2 linked regions of the Daphnia pulex genome follow. The protein of the gene in region 1 purifies or fractionates together with the protein of each later gene. This does not show direct contact. Links are inferred from orthologs where the notes say so. Each region holds a gene or a part of one and is shown on either strand. Other genes may lie near its edges. The genes, in order: AP-2 complex subunit alpha-like and protein numb-like.

Region 1 (4,378 bases):
TAATAAAGTAATCACTGTTTTCGAGAGGAGTGAATACCTTAAGTGCATTGATGACAGTCTCCTGATGCTTCTTCACCGAGTCATGGGAAAATTCTGAAGTCGCCAAGAGGCATAGCGACTCTAGTGCTAGATACCGCAGATTTGTTTCCCGGTGGGACAAGAATTGGCCGAGCTGGTTACATCCCCGAACGAGCAATGTTGCATCACTGAAATTAAAAGACAACAAAGGTGTAAGGGACTTCACACAATATTTCCTCCGCCTCAAATAACACACTAACTGATGTGGTAATAGCAAATGCCGATTTAGAATAGGAAAAAATATTTTCTACTAGCGAAGAATTTTTTTTTAGAAAACCCACCTATCGGCGTGAATGATTAAACTGATTGCCTCAAAGAGAACAGCATTTTTAGCGTTAGAATGCTGCACTTTCTTTGATTTCGGCGGTTCTTGTGCCTTGTTTAAGATGGTTTCTAAACATTCAGTTAATCTTCCGCGGACACCGGCATCCTCTGAAATGAAATAAATAATTCATATTTAAGACAACATTAAATTGCTTCTGATTAAATTCAGAAATTTACCCGGTGGAGGGTAGTTTTGCAGTAGTCTCAGAAGTTTAACAGACAGCCAGGGAGCGGGTACAAAATAATAAGTGTAGTCCTGTAAATCTGTGTAGCTGGCTGTCACGATCTGAATGCAATTAAGAAAAACAAATTATTTATTTTTCTTTTGATTGATTTTAGTAGTAGTGTTTAGATTGATAAACAATAACATTAGTAAAGTATATTGGAATTTATATTTCGAATTTACCCGGCTGAGACGAGAGACTGCCAGGCTAACACATCCCTTGTACTCGTCAGTGTTCCGTTTCACCAGGGCTTCAATCAAAGAGGCAGCAGCCGTTACAACTCCTAAGTGCTGAAAAAAAAGAAGAAATGCTTTTGATATTATTTTGGTAAAGACCAATTCAAATCATGATGTGGACAATGGAGAGGAATATCTTGTTCGAACAACTGTCGATCTTCGACCGAAGGTTCCTCTTCTACTTCGACCAAGAAAGGCTTTGAACTTAGGAACCTAATGCCATCATGCTACCAGGTCATTCACACCTGGTCATTTAGTAAGTGGATAATTCGTGATGTCCATTCTCCGCTTGGTATGACTTCCGGGCAGGTTCGAAGCAGTCTCAGAAGACAGAGAGCAGCCGACTGCTTTACAACGTCCATAGTGTCTCTGTTTATGATGTTATATGAACAAATTTAAAATATGAAAATGTCTTATTTTTTTTTCTGCAAAGGTAATTCAAGTCACTTACCCCGACACAAGTAATTTCGGGATTTCTGTGCCAAAGGTCTCGGCCATTTCTTTGCTTCCTATGTTGGCAATGCACTGAAGTGCCAAGTTAACGTGAATGGGATTGCGTGACGCCAAATCATTCTTGATACTTTGAATAATCAATCGAATCAGATCACTGTTAGTGTTGACCAGCACTGAGATGAAAAGGTAGCCCTGACGATAGGTGTGAAATAAATATTAATAAATGAAAACTGCACTAAAATCGAAAAAGTTCAAATGGTTTGTACAATTTGCTTCTCGGTGTACTTGTTGGATGATAGAAGATTGACGGCTTCCATGTGACCAAAATCTATATCGTGTCCCAAGAGGAAGATGAATAGCAATTTGCACACATATTTCTTTTTTTGGTAGCCATCCAAGGTTTTGTCGCCTTTGAATTTGGATCGTATGTTGGCCAGCTCCTTATTAATTCGCTTTATTTCCGCTTCTTTGCTTTTACCTGCAGACAGATGGTAAAATGTAAAAAAAAAAAATGAAAAATAAACAAATAAAACAAAAACAAAATGAAATCAGAACAAAAATGAAGAAAATACACACAGTTTCGAATGTCCGAAATGAAGACGGCCAGGCCCCGCATACCATCTCCTCTGACGGCCGGCATTCTCTTTCTGTTCTCAACTGCAATAGAGATCGAAGTATTAATAAAGATACAATACTATACAAAGTATTAGGCTGTTACAGTAGTGTTTATTTTTAAAAAATTATATGTGTATATATAAATATATACGTTTGTAGAGCGCTTGCGCACAGTCGTACGTAATGGCCACCGAAGCCACAGATATTGATTTCGTGGTGCAGGTCATAAATAATCTTACAACTAAATGCATAATAATTACCATATTTTAAAATGATCTAGTCACACTACATACTCAATCATTAAAATGAAAACAATTTTTAGAAACCCTAATAATATGTGGCCCACATAAAAAAACCAAAACATTTCTACAATGATCGGGCATAATCTAGAATCACAAAATTTCAGTTCCCTGCTAATGAAGGTAATAGATAAATTAACTTGAAAATTTGAAGTGCAATAGGCTCATTGAAATGAAAATAACTGAAACTAAACTTCGAGACCACTAACATACAAAAGGATATTGTAGTGTAATAGACCAATGACACCTTCTGGTTTTTAAAGATTTCCTCATAAAACACAGATTCAAACAAAAAGACTGTTATCAAGGTCTACTCCCGAAATTTTATAAAATGAGTGGTTCCTGTCATTATAACCTAATGGAGTAAGGACTAAAGAGATCAGAAATGTCTCGTATAAGAGTAGGCATACCGTGTATATAACTAGTCCAGTACAACCGATCAAACTACCCAAAACTTGATAAAGAATAGAAATATATGTGAATATCAATGAAAAACCAAGTGCCAATTCTTACTGAGATATTCGACCGGTGAAGAAACTCCTTGCCTTTACTGTCAATGTAGTAAACCTAAGACGATACCAAATACCACCCACTTCACACATCCACGACATCTAGGACATCTAGCGGTTGAGCTGAAATTTCAATGAGCAAAACTGTTGTCTGCTTGAAATGAAATAACAATAAGGTGATGGTGATCGTCAATGCCGTAATTGCCGCATGCACCTGCTAATAAAAAGTCCGATTTGAACAAGCCAGCACGTTTTGTAACTTGCTCCAAGGTTTCAAAACAAATGCTATAATCTCCTTCATTTCACTAACTACCGTTCATCTCCTACTTCCAGTAACGTTTTGGCTAGACAATTCCAAACTTTATACTGAAGTAGAATGAATCAAGTCAAGGTATGGCCCTCTTTTATTTATTTTTGTTTTAATATTTCCAACTTCAAAGAGTCTCATTTTATGTACAATGTATGATTTTTCTATTAACTTAATTTTTGTATTAAGACTTTAATATGATTTTTTCTTTTCCATGAAGAATGAAGAAAAACATGTGCCAAAAGAGTTGTGCTCTGTTTGCAATATACAAATAGACCGCATCAGTATGGAGCAACATTTGAAAGGAAAAAAGCATATTTTGCTAGTTAATCAAATAAAAATGAAAAAGAGAATTTCTCAACAAATTAGCAGTGAAGGAATCTATATTACTGGTAATTCAAAGATACCTGAGAAATCTTTATTCTGTGTTCAGTATTTTGAAATATTTTCTATCCATTTAAAACTAGGAATTCCAACTTCCCTAAGGAAAGACAAACTAGTAAAACATTTCAAACAATTTGGACAAGTAATAGCCATTTTAAGGAATGAAACGGAAAACACAGGATTGTTGCAGTTCAGAACAAAGTTGGTTAAATTTTTCACAATCATCAACAATATTTTTGTATCAATGTTTAACTTAGATTTTGTTTTTAACCTTTAAAGAAAGCAAGCAGATATGGCACTGAAATGCTCTCATCATGTGGAAGGAAGTTTGTTGGGAGTGCAACCAAGAAATCAAGTTGAACATAATCTAACAAACTCATCATCCAAAGGTTTTTAAATTTAAGTTGTAATTTTTTTTAAACATCTGAGTTTATATTAGTTGCTGCTTAATCTAATTTTGATTGATGTTAACATATTTTGTAAATTAGTTTTAATTGTCATCTTCAAATAGGATTATAATATGTTTGCAGTTTATTAATGTGATAAGTCGGTTGAAAATCATTCTTATATGGGAACGGGTATCCGATTTTACGATACCAAAATTATTTTGATTATGATCGCTTTGTTCAATCACGTTAGTAAGATTCCCTTTTTTTAATTTCTAGGTTCAGCTGGATTATTTGACGAAATTGAGGTTTTCAAAAGAAAATTTGAAGAAACTTTAAAATCAAATGCTGTGATACCTGTAGATGAGCAAATTCATTTATTGGTTAAGATAGTAGAAACTACAGAAGAAGAAAAAAGCACGAAGTCTCAGATCATATCATCTTTAGAGGAATGGCTGTCGCTCGAGTTTCCTGGCTGTTGCCTTCATCTTTTTGGATCATCCGTTACTGGATTAGCCTTTCGCAATGATTCTGATCTTGACATTTTCTTGGAGATTCCTAAA
Region 2 (4,494 bases), on another chromosome or scaffold:
GCCGGTCTGTATTCCTGCGGATCTTGAATGCGTTCCGTCAAGGGCGCTGCTCTAAAACTGCCCGAGCGCGTGAATGTAGAGTTGGAGGTGTCGAAATTCATCGTCACGCTGCACTCCTTATCTCGTTTTTGTTTCCGTTCCAAGCAAACGGCAAAAGCGCAACCCACTGCATGACTCAACCGCTCTCCCTGAAAAAAGAAAAAAACCAGGGCATCAACAATAGTATTAATAACCAGCGTAAGTCAAAGGAGGAAATAAGACCGGAAACCGTCAATCCATTATCATTGACGATGGCCACTTTCATTATTGGGGTAATCAAGCTTGTCTCTCTCTCTCTCTGTTGGATTGACAGCAATTCATTTACGATCCTCACCGAGTCTTTGCTGGCCAAGAATCCGTGGCACATCCAACGACGCGTAGTACCATCACGACAGATGTACGAGAATCCTTTTTCGTGATTACGATCCGGAGCACAAAAGGAGACTTTCTCAATCGTCTGGTCGACAATCAATCCCTGTGATTCACGATGCAATAGAGAGAAAAGTGAGTCTAAGATGTCGGTGACGAAATCAACGGAAATTTCATACTTTGGTGTCTTCTTCGACAACTCGTAATCCATCGCCGGAAATGTGCAGAACGCCTTTTACTGGTCGACGTCTAGAATTCTGTTTTGGGAATGAATAAATAAATAAATGTGGAATATTTTGTCATCATCGTTTCAATGGAAATGAATATTTTACCCTGAGCACTTTGAGTGCTTCCTCGCAAACAGGCATACCACGTGACTCGTACACTTCCACGCATCCCAGATACTGGAAAAAATAAAAATTCAAAAAGGTGAGCGAATCGCAAATAAATAGAACCACGTGGATTCCTGCCAAACGTCAACAACAAAAATATACGTCCTGCACAATGTATATAACGTGCTCACGAACCTTGACGTAAAAATTGCAAGTTCCAGCTCGAACGGCAGCCTCGTCCGACTGCCATTGGTGCGGTTTTGAACTCTCGGGGACGTGGTCTTTGCGGCGACGGAAACTTTCGCGGAAGCTTCTCCGCAATCGCTCCATCCTCTTATGGCGTCCGCTCTCCTTGGTCTCGCTCTTCTCAGCCTGCAATAAGAAAAACCGAAGCAAAATATTAGAGACGCCGCGATCTGCAATGGTGTCGGGTCCAACCCGAATTCCGGCCATTCCAGCCGTTTCATGGAGAAATTAACGTTGCAACATAACGGCAAATTCGTTCAGTTAGCGCAACTATCCCGTTACGCTTTCGCAAACGCACGCAATGAATCATGCCCTGAAGAGTACGGTACCTCGGTGGAATAATAAAAAATTAACGAAAGAAACGAGAACCCACACGCCCCGAATATTATCGATTGTTTCTCAAGCGCGGGCACGTCGAGACGGCGCGCCATTGCCAAGAGAGATATTCTTTCGACCGAATCTTGATTATTACCCAAAGAATAAACAGCAACTTGTGAGATAATAAAAGAATAGGGCATCTCCGTTCGGGAAACGACAGACACACACACACACGTGAAAAAGAAAAACATGGCAAGATCAAAGAGGAGGAGCTGGAGCCTCAGAGGAAAGGGGGGCGTGACGTCGCTTCACACGTCAGCTAACGCCAGAGGGCAACAGGTCATCGCTACGCCCCAGGTAAGACGCAACGTGTTACACGCTCCGAGACCCAACCTAGCCCACATTCCAATCTTTTTTAACCTTTTGCTTCCTCAACTAAAATTACCCGATACATTCTTAGAAAGTTTCCTTGATTCGACCAAATCGAGTTGGCCACGGTCAAATGTTAAGCAGGAATTAAAATATAAGAGACCCGATCACCTTGTCGATTTCATTGGCCACCGGAGCGATCGGATGGGTTACGGCCGATTCGAGCGGATCGTGCGGAAGAGCAGAATGGGCGTTGCCCATGTTTTGGTTTTTTTTTAAATTAAGATTTGGTGGTGCAATGTGTGCAAAATAAAATGTAAAAGAGTTTTTTGTTGGATATTTTGTAGATGAACGAAAAACTAGATGTGCATCAAGATCCGTGCGAATTAAATTCGTGCGTCGTCACACGGCCGGTTTCCATTACGCCGGCACCGGCGACCCGTAAAGTCAGAAAATAAGAGATATCCGCCCAGTTGCCATTCCGGTAAAACAGAAAGACGAGCAAATATTTCCGTCTTATTTCTTTGGGTTGCACAAACGATTCCGCACGTGCAAACACACGTCACACACAGTAGTCACAATCTAGTTCACTCTTAAAAAAGATCACACTCGGCCGTAAAACACAGAAACGAAATGGCGTAAAACGGACGCAAAACGTCTGTCCAGTTGAATCACGTCGGGAGGGAAATCGATGAGAACGACCGCGAAGCTGCTGGAGGAGCAGACTATAACAACAAGCGAACGTTCCCCAGCAAGGCGGACCATCAAAATGGCGCCCGTGACGTGAGAAACCCAAGCAAACTACTGCCAAAGAGTGGAATGTAGTCCCGACCAGGTATATAGACGCATGCGACCGTGGTTGGCTCCCTTCGTGTTGCCATAGGTATGTAACATGAGGCTTTGGCCTTCATGCTTGTTCAGCTCGAGGCCATCTTTGAACTCCCTCCTTCTTTTCTGTCTTTTCTTCTACCTTTTTACTGACTTATTTCTCTCTTCTTTCCAGCTAGACAAAAAAGGTAGCAGCCGATTCCTACAGTCTCGGGGTTAGCATCGAAAATAATAATAACAAGAGATGGGCTTCATCGAAATTGTTTTTTCCCGATGATGGCATCTATGGTGACGGATCACATCTCGTACGGGGGTTATTGCATACATGAATATGAATGGACCCGCAACAGAGGAGGTGAACGAACCACATGAGAGAGCCCTACGTCGTTGAAGGACACTTTGCTTTTATCAGTTAGTCCTGTGATACGTCCGGCAAACATCAACGTGATGTGGCCATCACTTTCTCTTTCATGTCATAGAAACCAACACGATATCAATGCAGGGCAAGGTAGATTACGTTCATGATTTACCTTTGTTCAAAGCCAGCCAAGGGTCGAATCAATAAATGAAGTTACCTCGTCTGCAAATGATATATCGATAAGCATGTCAGCAGACGGTTAGAGGACAAGGGTTGCTTAATAATCTACTGATAATAAATATACTACTACTAGCTGCAGCACACACACACACAATCTTCAAAGTGGGAAAAGCAACCAAATTGGTTAGTTTCTTGGCCTTGCGGTTGCACTGACCCTGGATCAACAATGCCCTATGGCGAAAAAGGCCGACTCTTTCACTCATCGTCAAAAAAAAGAAAAAATAAAACCGTAAACGTATATGAGAGACAAGGAGAGAAAAAGAAACGGTAATGGCTTCGTGGAAAGAATGTCAACGTGTATACGTAATGGCGTGAGAGTCTGAGAGAGACCTAGTGAAGTTGCTACACGGCCTGTGTGATGAAAGTCTCTTATCGATCCGGCTCACAGGCACATCTCACATCAGGGTTGTTGATAATGAAACTGATTTCTCTTTTAGCTTCTACCAACGTTTGATCGGTTCACCGACACCAAAAAATCTCAAGAGGGGTGAAATGGCCACACGCAACGTTTCTCATCAGATTTTACGAAAATGTGATTGTCGATGAGAATTTTCCCATCGAAAAACGATAATATCAAATAGGCTGGAAAAAACAATCTACAAAAGGTATGTACAAACGTAAAGGGGAGAGAACAAATGCCGTCGGTTTCACTTGATGCTGTAGACCTCTGGGCAGAGAGAAAACCAACCAAGACTGCCTTGAATGAGAAACTGAAAACAAGCCCCGACGAAAAGCCTGTCAACACACACCAAAACAGAATCGGCCAAACTTACCGGCCTCGCGATGAACTGGACGATCTCAATGAAAACAATACGTTCACAAACTAACTAATCACACCACTCCCACCGCTTTAGCAATACTCTCAGAGCACTTCGGTTTAAGAAACCGTTTTGACTGCAACTGCATCTCTCTCAGTGTGCCACCACAAAAAAAAATCATTTAAGATTCATCAGACTGCCATCTGGTGTTGATAGTGTGCACAAGCCTTTATTAAAAATTTAGGGCGCGTCGTGAACGCCATCTGCTGGTTTTCTGTGGTACCTCAATGAATATACGATTTGATCATGGCTTTTAGATTCGGCTTCATTTGGTCGTCGTTTACTCGCTTCACCCGTTTGGTTCTCTAACAAACTTGTTTTGCTATCGTGTTTCTTTCAAGGCAGTTTTAAATTAACGTAAAACTTCATCGTGTTTTACTTGGACGCGTCTATTTTGTCTATTGATTTGAAACACCCTTTTGATTGTGTGATTATTCTTTAGAAACAGAAAGTTATTTAGTTGAATTTGACATGGATCATCACATGCCGCCCGGCTACGGCCAGGAGAATTACATGTATGGAGATCCTTCAAGGTCCTTCCAGGGTAATGCTGTCGGTATGTATGGATCAGGTGCTA

Evidence for each region.
Region 2: the proteins of AP-2 complex subunit alpha-like (region 1) and protein numb-like purify together in Drosophila melanogaster (affinity purification with western blotting; 5 studies listed by BioGRID). This does not show direct contact. The link is inferred for Daphnia pulex from reciprocal best matches to the Drosophila melanogaster genes AP-2alpha and numb.

What each region holds. Positions count from the first base shown.
Region 1 is NC_060028.1:3,027,532-3,031,909, reverse strand, and holds the start of AP-2 complex subunit alpha-like, read right to left. Parts: upstream 2,867-4,378; 5' UTR 2,743-2,866; intron 2,684-2,742; exon of another isoform or gene 2,640-2,683; intron 1,973-2,639; 5' UTR 1,956-1,972; coding exon 1,892-1,955; intron 1,794-1,891; coding exon 1,582-1,793; intron 1,508-1,581; coding exon 1,314-1,507; intron 1,232-1,313; coding exon 1,108-1,231; intron 917-1,107; coding exon 809-916; intron 689-808; coding exon 580-688; intron 511-579; coding exon 360-510; intron 207-359; coding exon 38-206; intron 1-37. Other genes in the region: speckle targeted PIP5K1A-regulated poly(A) polymerase-like, read left to right, coding at 3,115-3,129, 3,266-3,437, 3,513-3,630, 3,709-3,818, 4,095-4,378. UniProt on the Drosophila melanogaster protein: Adaptins are components of the adapter complexes which link clathrin to receptors in coated vesicles. Clathrin-associated protein complexes are believed to interact with the cytoplasmic tails of membrane proteins, leading to their selection and concentration.
Region 2 is NC_060020.1:5,122,170-5,126,663, forward strand, and holds the start of protein numb-like, read right to left. Parts: upstream 2,968-4,494; 5' UTR 1,935-2,967; coding exon 1,845-1,934; intron 1,113-1,844; coding exon 936-1,112; intron 813-935; coding exon 741-812; intron 666-740; coding exon 588-665; intron 515-587; coding exon 374-514; intron 189-373; coding exon 1-188. Other genes in the region: splicing factor 3B subunit 2-like, read left to right, coding at 4,389-4,494.